Linked DNA regions of Yarrowia lipolytica. The protein of the gene in region 2 interacts with the protein of the main gene of each other region in a pairwise test. Links are inferred from orthologs where the notes say so. Each region holds a gene or a part of one and is shown on either strand. Other genes may lie near its edges.

The links. The genes of interacting proteins can lie anywhere in the genome.
Region 1: the proteins of YALI1_F28550g (region 2) and YALI1_B18260g interact in binary tests that used the Saccharomyces cerevisiae proteins (3 or more experiments, as listed by UniProt). The link is inferred for Yarrowia lipolytica from reciprocal best matches to the Saccharomyces cerevisiae genes RLF2 and MSI1.

Annotation. Positions count from the first base shown.
Region 1 is NC_090771.1:1,824,244-1,827,958, reverse strand, and holds YALI1_B18260g (uncharacterized protein), read left to right. Parts: upstream 1-1,889; coding exon 1,890-3,119; downstream 3,120-3,715. Other genes in the region: YALI1_B18292g (uncharacterized protein), read left to right, coding at 1-175; YALI1_B18265g (uncharacterized protein), read right to left, coding at 561-653, 1,117-1,383; YALI1_B18236g (uncharacterized protein), read right to left, coding at 3,296-3,715. UniProt on the Saccharomyces cerevisiae protein: Acts as a component of the histone chaperone complex chromatin assembly factor 1 (CAF-1), which assembles histone octamers onto DNA during replication and repair.
Region 2 is NC_090775.1:2,853,301-2,857,213, reverse strand, and holds YALI1_F28550g (uncharacterized protein), read right to left. Parts: upstream 2,117-3,913; coding exon 509-2,116; downstream 1-508. Other genes in the region: YALI1_F28537g (uncharacterized protein), read left to right, coding at 3,447-3,913.

The DNA of each region.
Region 1 (3,715 bases), on a different chromosome or scaffold from region 2:
TGACCACATTCCTGGTCTCAAGCTGCGAGTCACTGCTGAGGAAGAGATGCTCGGAACTGATGTCAAGGATCTGTCAGAGAAGGTCGAAAACATGGAGGACTCTCTCTGGGGCAACTCCCCATCCATGAGCCGAGAGCCCACCGTCGCCAAGCGGGACGCTGAGCCCATGGTCTAAACCGCAAATCAGAATTAATATTGTGTACTGTTAACAAAACCGGATGAAATGTAGAGAGATGTAGTCGTCACTGTATACTGTACATACTGTAAACACAGTAACAATCCTAAGCCTCTTTAGCACCTTGTGCCATGCAGCCATCAGTACGCCTTTGGTGTGGGTATGACATGCCCAGGTATCTCTCCTGTGTCGTAGAAGTGCTGGTACCTGTTGTAGTTTCATGATTGACACGAAATGAGGTTGGAGGGAGATCACTTTCAAAGCCAGTGGGGACATTCTCGTGGTCGTCCCAATGCTTTCCATCAAGCCTTAATAGCCGGGACACTACAGAACCCTTCGTCCCTATCCAGTCATAATATATTTGTAAAATGCATCAATCTATCGGTTAAGACTGCAGTAACAGTCGTCGTTGCCCGTCGGGCTGCGTTTCGTCTTCGTGAACCTCCTCCACTCCGGGGGCCACTCGTTTTCGTCGCACCTGAGTTAGGATGTGTGTGGTGGCATCAAGATGTCGCAATGAGGGTGTGAGCACTTCATGTGAGACCAGGCCCAGTTCATATCTGTGGCCAGTAAGTTGGCGATACCGACGAATTCACTAGATAAGCGACTGTAGGAAGTATTCGGGCGGTCCAGGTGCAAGCATGGACGAGGTGTCTTACTCTCCTCACTTTTATGTGGTCCATATTTCAGCCTTGCTGCTGCGACTCTCTCAGATAGCCATGCCGTGCCTGATCCTCGTGTAAGAGGCTCACATTATGGTCATTCAGAAGCCAGAGCAACACCAGAGAAAAAAGAACCAAGTTCTCGTCACATCAAGCAATAGCAACGACGTCACGTCGGCAAGAAAAATGAAGTGTATCTCAAACGACCACAGCCGTTCAATGCAATCGCCACTGTTCACAGCATCACATTCTTCTCATCAGCCTGTTCATTATACTCACTCTAGCACCGCTCATGCCCCATGCAAAGCCGATTTCATGGGCTACGAGCTCTCCAAAGCCCATCATCATGCCGTTGATGAAGGGCAGGACCAGATTGATGCAACATCGGCCTAGAAAACGGCCAATAGCAGGCATTGAAAAGGTTATGCGCGGCCCAGGGGCGTACTGTTCGCCTTCCTCTGTCAGCTGCTCGTCCGACTCCTCCTCCACCAGCTCGGGTATATCTTGTGTAGAAAATGGCTCTTCGTTCGGGTCCATTTCGGTCATGTTGGGGATGTTGTGGTCTACAAGTAGTAAATTAAGTTGCAAGTGGTGAAGTGCGTCACTGGGGTTCGTGCGTGCGTACGACACTGATGGTTGACCGGAAGACGATAGAAAAATTGGATAATTTAGGGGAAAATTACAGAGCGGCTGGAGTATTCATTGTGGTTTTTGAATATTTTTGATAAATGTACCTGCAAGTATAAATACTCTGTAATGACAATAATATACTCTCTAATCATTATTGAAGAAAGCAGCACAGCACTGATACCAGAAAAGAACAGTCAAAAGAAAAATGAAATCAAATTAAAAAGAATTAATGGAACAATAATATCGTAATTACAATTATCCTAATTTTACCCCATTTATTTCGTATGTCGGACTGACCTCATTCACGACCCCACTGTACCTCTTATTAAGCTCCTGAGAGACGCGTCCATTTCACGCATATTTCATTTGACTAAAACTGATTCACAACTGGAAACATATCGCACAATACACACGACACAGCAATGGACACAGAAGCTAGGGAACTGCCACAGACTTGCGAGGACGACGTGACGCCCAAACTGTCGCCCGAACAGCTGCTCTCGTACGAGAACTATCGAATTTGGAAGAAAAACGCCCCCCAGCTATACTCGTTGTTCATGTCACAGATGCTTCCGAGCCCAGCATTGTCATTCCAGTGGTTCCCCGATCTCGACACGCCCAAGAATGCCTCTGTCACGGCCCACCGGTTCCTCACGTCGAGCTATACAGACACCCCGGAGGTTATTCGACTTGGAGAAGTTAAGATCCCCAAAAACGACGAGACGCTCAGCCTGCAGGACTACTCTGCGCTGACGGAGGAGATTGGCGGCTACCAGGGTCATCCACACGCAGGAATAAATGTGTCACAAAACATATCTGTGCTCGGAGAAGTCAACAGAGTCAGATACATGCCCCAGAACCCAAACATCATCGCTACGATAGGAGCAGATGGATCCGTGCTCATGTTCGACAAGTCCAAGCATCCAGCCAACCCATCCAACGACGAATGCAAGGCTGATGCGACTCTGTGTCATCACAATTCTGAGGGCTGGAGCCTGTCTTGGAACACAAAAGATCGAGGGAAGCTGCTAACATGCTCTTCAGACGGAACTGTGGCACTGTGGGATCTGGTTAACGACTACAAGAGCCGCTCTGATGGCAAGATGGTGACTATTGCTCCCAAACAAGTCTTCATACATCATCAGGGCTCTGTCAACGACGTCACTTGGCATCCTTCTGAAAAGACTCTATTTGCAAGTGTTGGAGACGATCAGAAGTTGTATGTGATCGATACAACTGACAACAGCACAGTTTATGAGACAGACACGAGAACCGCATCTTTATCTGTCGCCTTCAGCCCGTTTAACAATCGGGTGGTCGCGACGTCTGGAGAGGACGGCATCGTCAACTTGTGGGACATCAAATCCACTTCACAGACCCCTATTGGCCGACTGGTAGGTCACGAGGGGCCTGTGGGCTCGTTGGATTGGTCCCCGCATAATCCTCGACTGCTGGTGTCTGGATCTGAAGATAAACGGGCCATCATCTGGGACATTTCCAAGATAGGTCAGAAAGACGGCTCGGAAAAGCTGTTTGTGCACGCTGGACACACGGAGAAGGTGACCGAGGTGGGATGGAATCGCAGTCTGGAGGGTGTGATTGGAAGTGTTGCATTTAATTCCTTGTTGCATGTTTGGAAGGTGAAAGATTAGTAAGGTGTTGCTGTCGATGAGAGATGAGACGATGATGACATTAATTTATTCTGTATCATGAAACTACAAGGATTATGAAACGTAGCAGAAAAGAAATACATGATACAAGTACCTGTAGACCTACATTCAATATGGATCACTCAATTAAATAATTTATCATACAATCTATAATGCAATTACCACTCGACACGTTCTTCGTCATTGTGGCTCGAGTTGAGGTCTTCCTCCTTCATGTTTGACAGCTTCTTCTTGTGCAGGTTTGCTTTCATGGGCACTCGTCCAAACATGAAGCCGGGGTGGAAGATGGCCAGTAGGTATGTTGCTAGCACCATCATCAGACCGTCGAGCACCAGCATATACACCTCGTTGATGACCAGCCGTCCGTGCCATCCTCCGGCTAGTTCGATGATTCGGTAGATGGAACGGGTGTAGATGAGAATAATAGCAATCGTCTGGCCTACAATGAAGATAGGTAACTTCTTGCCCTTCTTGAGCTCCTCGATATCAGGTCTATGAGCCTGACTATCAAGTACCTCTGGGTTTCTTCTGCCCGTGTAAACTCGGAAAAGGAATTCAAAGTAGAAGAGGAAGAAGAT
Region 2 (3,913 bases):
TTGCTTATTCCGGCCAAACCATACTTGTGTCGATCTGCCAATCGGGTATCTCTGTCTTCTTTGATTTGCCCGATGTACAGTAAGAGTTTGTAGACCAGAGCCTGTCGAAAGAGCGATCGAAACTGGGTTCACGGTCCATTTTGCACTGAGCCTAAATACTGTACAAGGATGTCAACCCCAAATACCTGGTATAAGTACGACATTGAAATGGAGGTGCAATGCAGCTACACATAGAAAAGGATGAGGATGAGGATGGATCGGCTATACGTTACCCGAGAGGCGAGAGGTGGGATCGAGTCACGTGACCGTATTTCAGTGTACTGTACCAATTTTACTTCTGACGTCCCTTTAAGTGCGGCGGTGGAATCAAGCACAAAAGTACTACTTTACGAGTATAGGCCTCGGCCATCGTTCTCACACAGTTGTTTCATTATTGAATCATCAGTTCATCGTTAATTCATTATCTACTGCGTCATGTGTACTCCAGCAGAACTCATCATTCCCCGGCCTAGATATCCTTCAGAACCCACCGCTTGTCGCTCTTAGGACCCTGTCGCTCAGCATAGTGCTGAATGGTGGCCGTGACCATCTTGCGTGTGTACTGGGGATACTGCTTACAAAGCAGCTCGGTCAACAGCGTCTTGTTATCGTCGGATCCATCTACTCGCTTCAAAAGAGCAGTCAGATCGTCTCCAGCAATGAGCTTCTGAGGCTTGGCAGCAGCCAGAAACTGTTTCGTGGCTGAAGCAACCGCTGGGGAAGGTGACAGAGTTTTGGAGAGGACTGCAAACGGGCTGAGTTCGGTTTTGGTTGTAGTAGATTTAATAGCTGTACCAGAAGCTGATGTCGCACTAGTCATTGTCACGTCACTCTTAGTATCGGTCTTCTGCTCAACTTTTGCAACAGTCCAATAGTCTTTGAATGGGTCAATTGCCCCCTGGACAATCAGTCCTCCAAAAGTCATACCAACCATATCTGAGCAGCCCCAGACAACAACAGGTTCCTGGGCTGTCGTGACCTTTGAAGTCATGGTGCTGGGACTCTTGGCATCATCAGAACACACAAAGTCGGCCATTTCGTCGTCCTCCATCTCCTCGTCTCCACTAATTTCATCATCTTCAATATCTTCTCCTTCATCTTCCCAGTCGGCCTCACTGTCGTACTCGTAGTCCAAACCAGGCACCTGGAAGAGAGGGTTCTGCAACAGATCACGCGAGCAGCTCTTGGAGTACGTGCCCAGGTATGCGGGTCGCTCGTCACCATAGAACTGCAAGTATCGTCTAGGAAGAGCATTGACCAGCGTGTCTAAAGGAGTACCGTTGTAATTATCAGGATTGAGACCCAGAGTGGCAGCGGTCTGGATGTGAGTAATGATGGTTTTGACGGGAACAGGTGGTTCTTCTGCTTCGGCGGTGTTGCTGTCATCAGAAAGGTTGAGACTGTTGAGCCAGTCAACAGGATCCTGATCCATCACTTCACACTCCGTCTTGTCTGCCATACACACGGTATCTTTGATGTGGAAGGGTAGGAAGTCTTTATCAAAGTCCAAACACTTGTCACTGTTAACAGCTTCCTTCTTGGTCTTCTTTTTGGTCTTCTTGTTAAAGAAAGACATGATTCGAGTCTGTTCTTGCTCCTTCTTCTTGAGTTCAGCTTCTTTTTCAAGTCTCTTGGCCTCCTTCTCTTCAGCCAACTTAGCCTTCTCCTCTGCAATCTTGGCTCGCTCAAGCTCCTTCTCTTCGGCAGCCTTCTTTCGTTCCTCTTCTCGTCGTCGTTTCTCCTCCTCTTTCCCTTTCTTCCTCCTCTTTAGCCCCCTCTTCTCCTCCTCCTTCTGTTTCCTCAGTTGTTCCTTCTCCTCCTCTTTCTGCTTTCTCAGTAGCTCTTTCTCTTCTTCCTTCTGTCTTCGAAGCTGCTCTCGCTCTTCCTCTTTCTGCTTCTTGATCTGTTCCTTTTCAAGTCGCATCTTTTCTTTCTCCTCGGCAGAGATCTTTCGACGCTTGGGTGACGGTTCGGGCGTGGTAATCGTGCACAGAGGCTTGTTGTCGGCCATTACAGGCTTGTCACATCCTGCATTCTGCTCACTTGCGCTCATGAGTCGAATTGGAGAGCTGTCCATGGTGTTGTGGAGGAAAGAAGGAGGTTACAAGGCCCAGCCTTCACGACGCGTACCCAAGAGCTTAATTGAAATGATTTGGGAGACGCGTCCAGAAGTGGTAATTAGTTGAACGCGGAAGTCGTGAGCGTGTCACGTTACCAAATATAATTCAATTGCAACTAATAGGTCACGAGATATTTTTCGTCACGTGTCTGTTCAACTATCTCTAATCTCTCACTGACTCTGTGCATCTCTCTTATTCATAGTGTACATGCTGTGCGAGTCGCTAAAAATACTTGTCATAACCTGAACCTATTAATAGTCCCAACTCCGACGCCAACCTGACCTCCACAATTACACACCACAAACAGAACCCACTGTTTCTCGCTATAAACAGTCGATCAGGTCTACGAAGGTGGTGGAAAGAAACGTCTGGTGGCGAGACTGCGATCCAAACACCCACCGAAACAGTCCAGGCCCTGGAAATGCAAGGTCCACATTTTCACGGGAGTATGCTGATTCCAACATTTGACTGAATTGTCAGATCATGTAAATAATTGTGGTTGTTGGTTGCTGGGAGCCGCAACCTACAAGGTGAGTACAAGTACTTTCATTAGGATGCTTGTTTTAAATACAGTAGCTAGCCTACGTCTTCTGTTGTGACTCGAATAGCCTGTTTTGACAATCTGGCGAGTCGCCACTGAAAACCTCAACACAGCACCTACGGAAATAATCGCAGTTTACGGTAAGCAACGTAATGAGATTGTAGTACATTATTTATATAGATCGAAAGCTACAGGCACCCTTATTTTTAATGCTGTTATTCTTCTCTCTGTAAGTCCCCTCCTCGTCTTAGCAGCGACACTGAAATCGATTTCTTCCATCAGTATTCCAGACCTTTGCAACCTAATTATGCATCACCAGGAGTGTTCAAAAGACAGATAAGAAATCATTCTCGACCGCCACGAGCCCATCAAGCATAAGTTAGCCACACGATCGTAGAATCCTATCACGTGATCAGTCCTCCACTCATTATAAATATTACTAATCTTCGTCTTGCCACCTCACGGGTTTCTCCCTTACCCTATTCCCCGCATCGAGGAAGATGTCGGTTATTGACGCTCTAACAACTCTCCAGAAACCCACAGACGGAAATCCTGACTACGAAAACTGTCCACGTGATCACTCATGGCACGTGATCACTCATGGTACATGGTATCAATCCATATTTGTTTTCCTGTAATGTGACCACCGCCTCGTCGCTACCTTCCCCCAACTATTATAAATCATTTAGAGTTGTTCACTCTTTTATCTAAAATCGAGACTTGCATCGACACTCTCTTCCACCACCATGTTACGTCTAAAGTCGCTCAAAAAACCGGTCCAGGCCGTGGTTCGACGTTTCGCCACCACCTCCGCACCCACTCTCTCTGTCGGCGACAATATCCATGGCTTCAATGTTCTCAGAACCAAAGAGATCCCCGAGTTTGATCTGCAGGCTACCCTGCTAGAGCACTCCACTGGAGCCCAGCATCTGCACATTGCTCGAGATGACTCCAACAACGTCTTTTCCATCGGCTTCAAGACTAATCCTCCCGATCGAACCGGAGTTCCCCATATTCTGGAGCATACAACGTTGTGTGGATCGGAAAAGTACCAAGTCCGAGATCCCTTCTTCAAGATGCTTAACCGATCTCTTGCCAACTTCATGAACGCGATGACCGCCCAGGACTACACCTTTTACCCCTTTGCTACCACCAACGCTACCGACATGAAGAATCTGCGAGATGTGTACCTCGATGCTACCCTGAAGCCTCT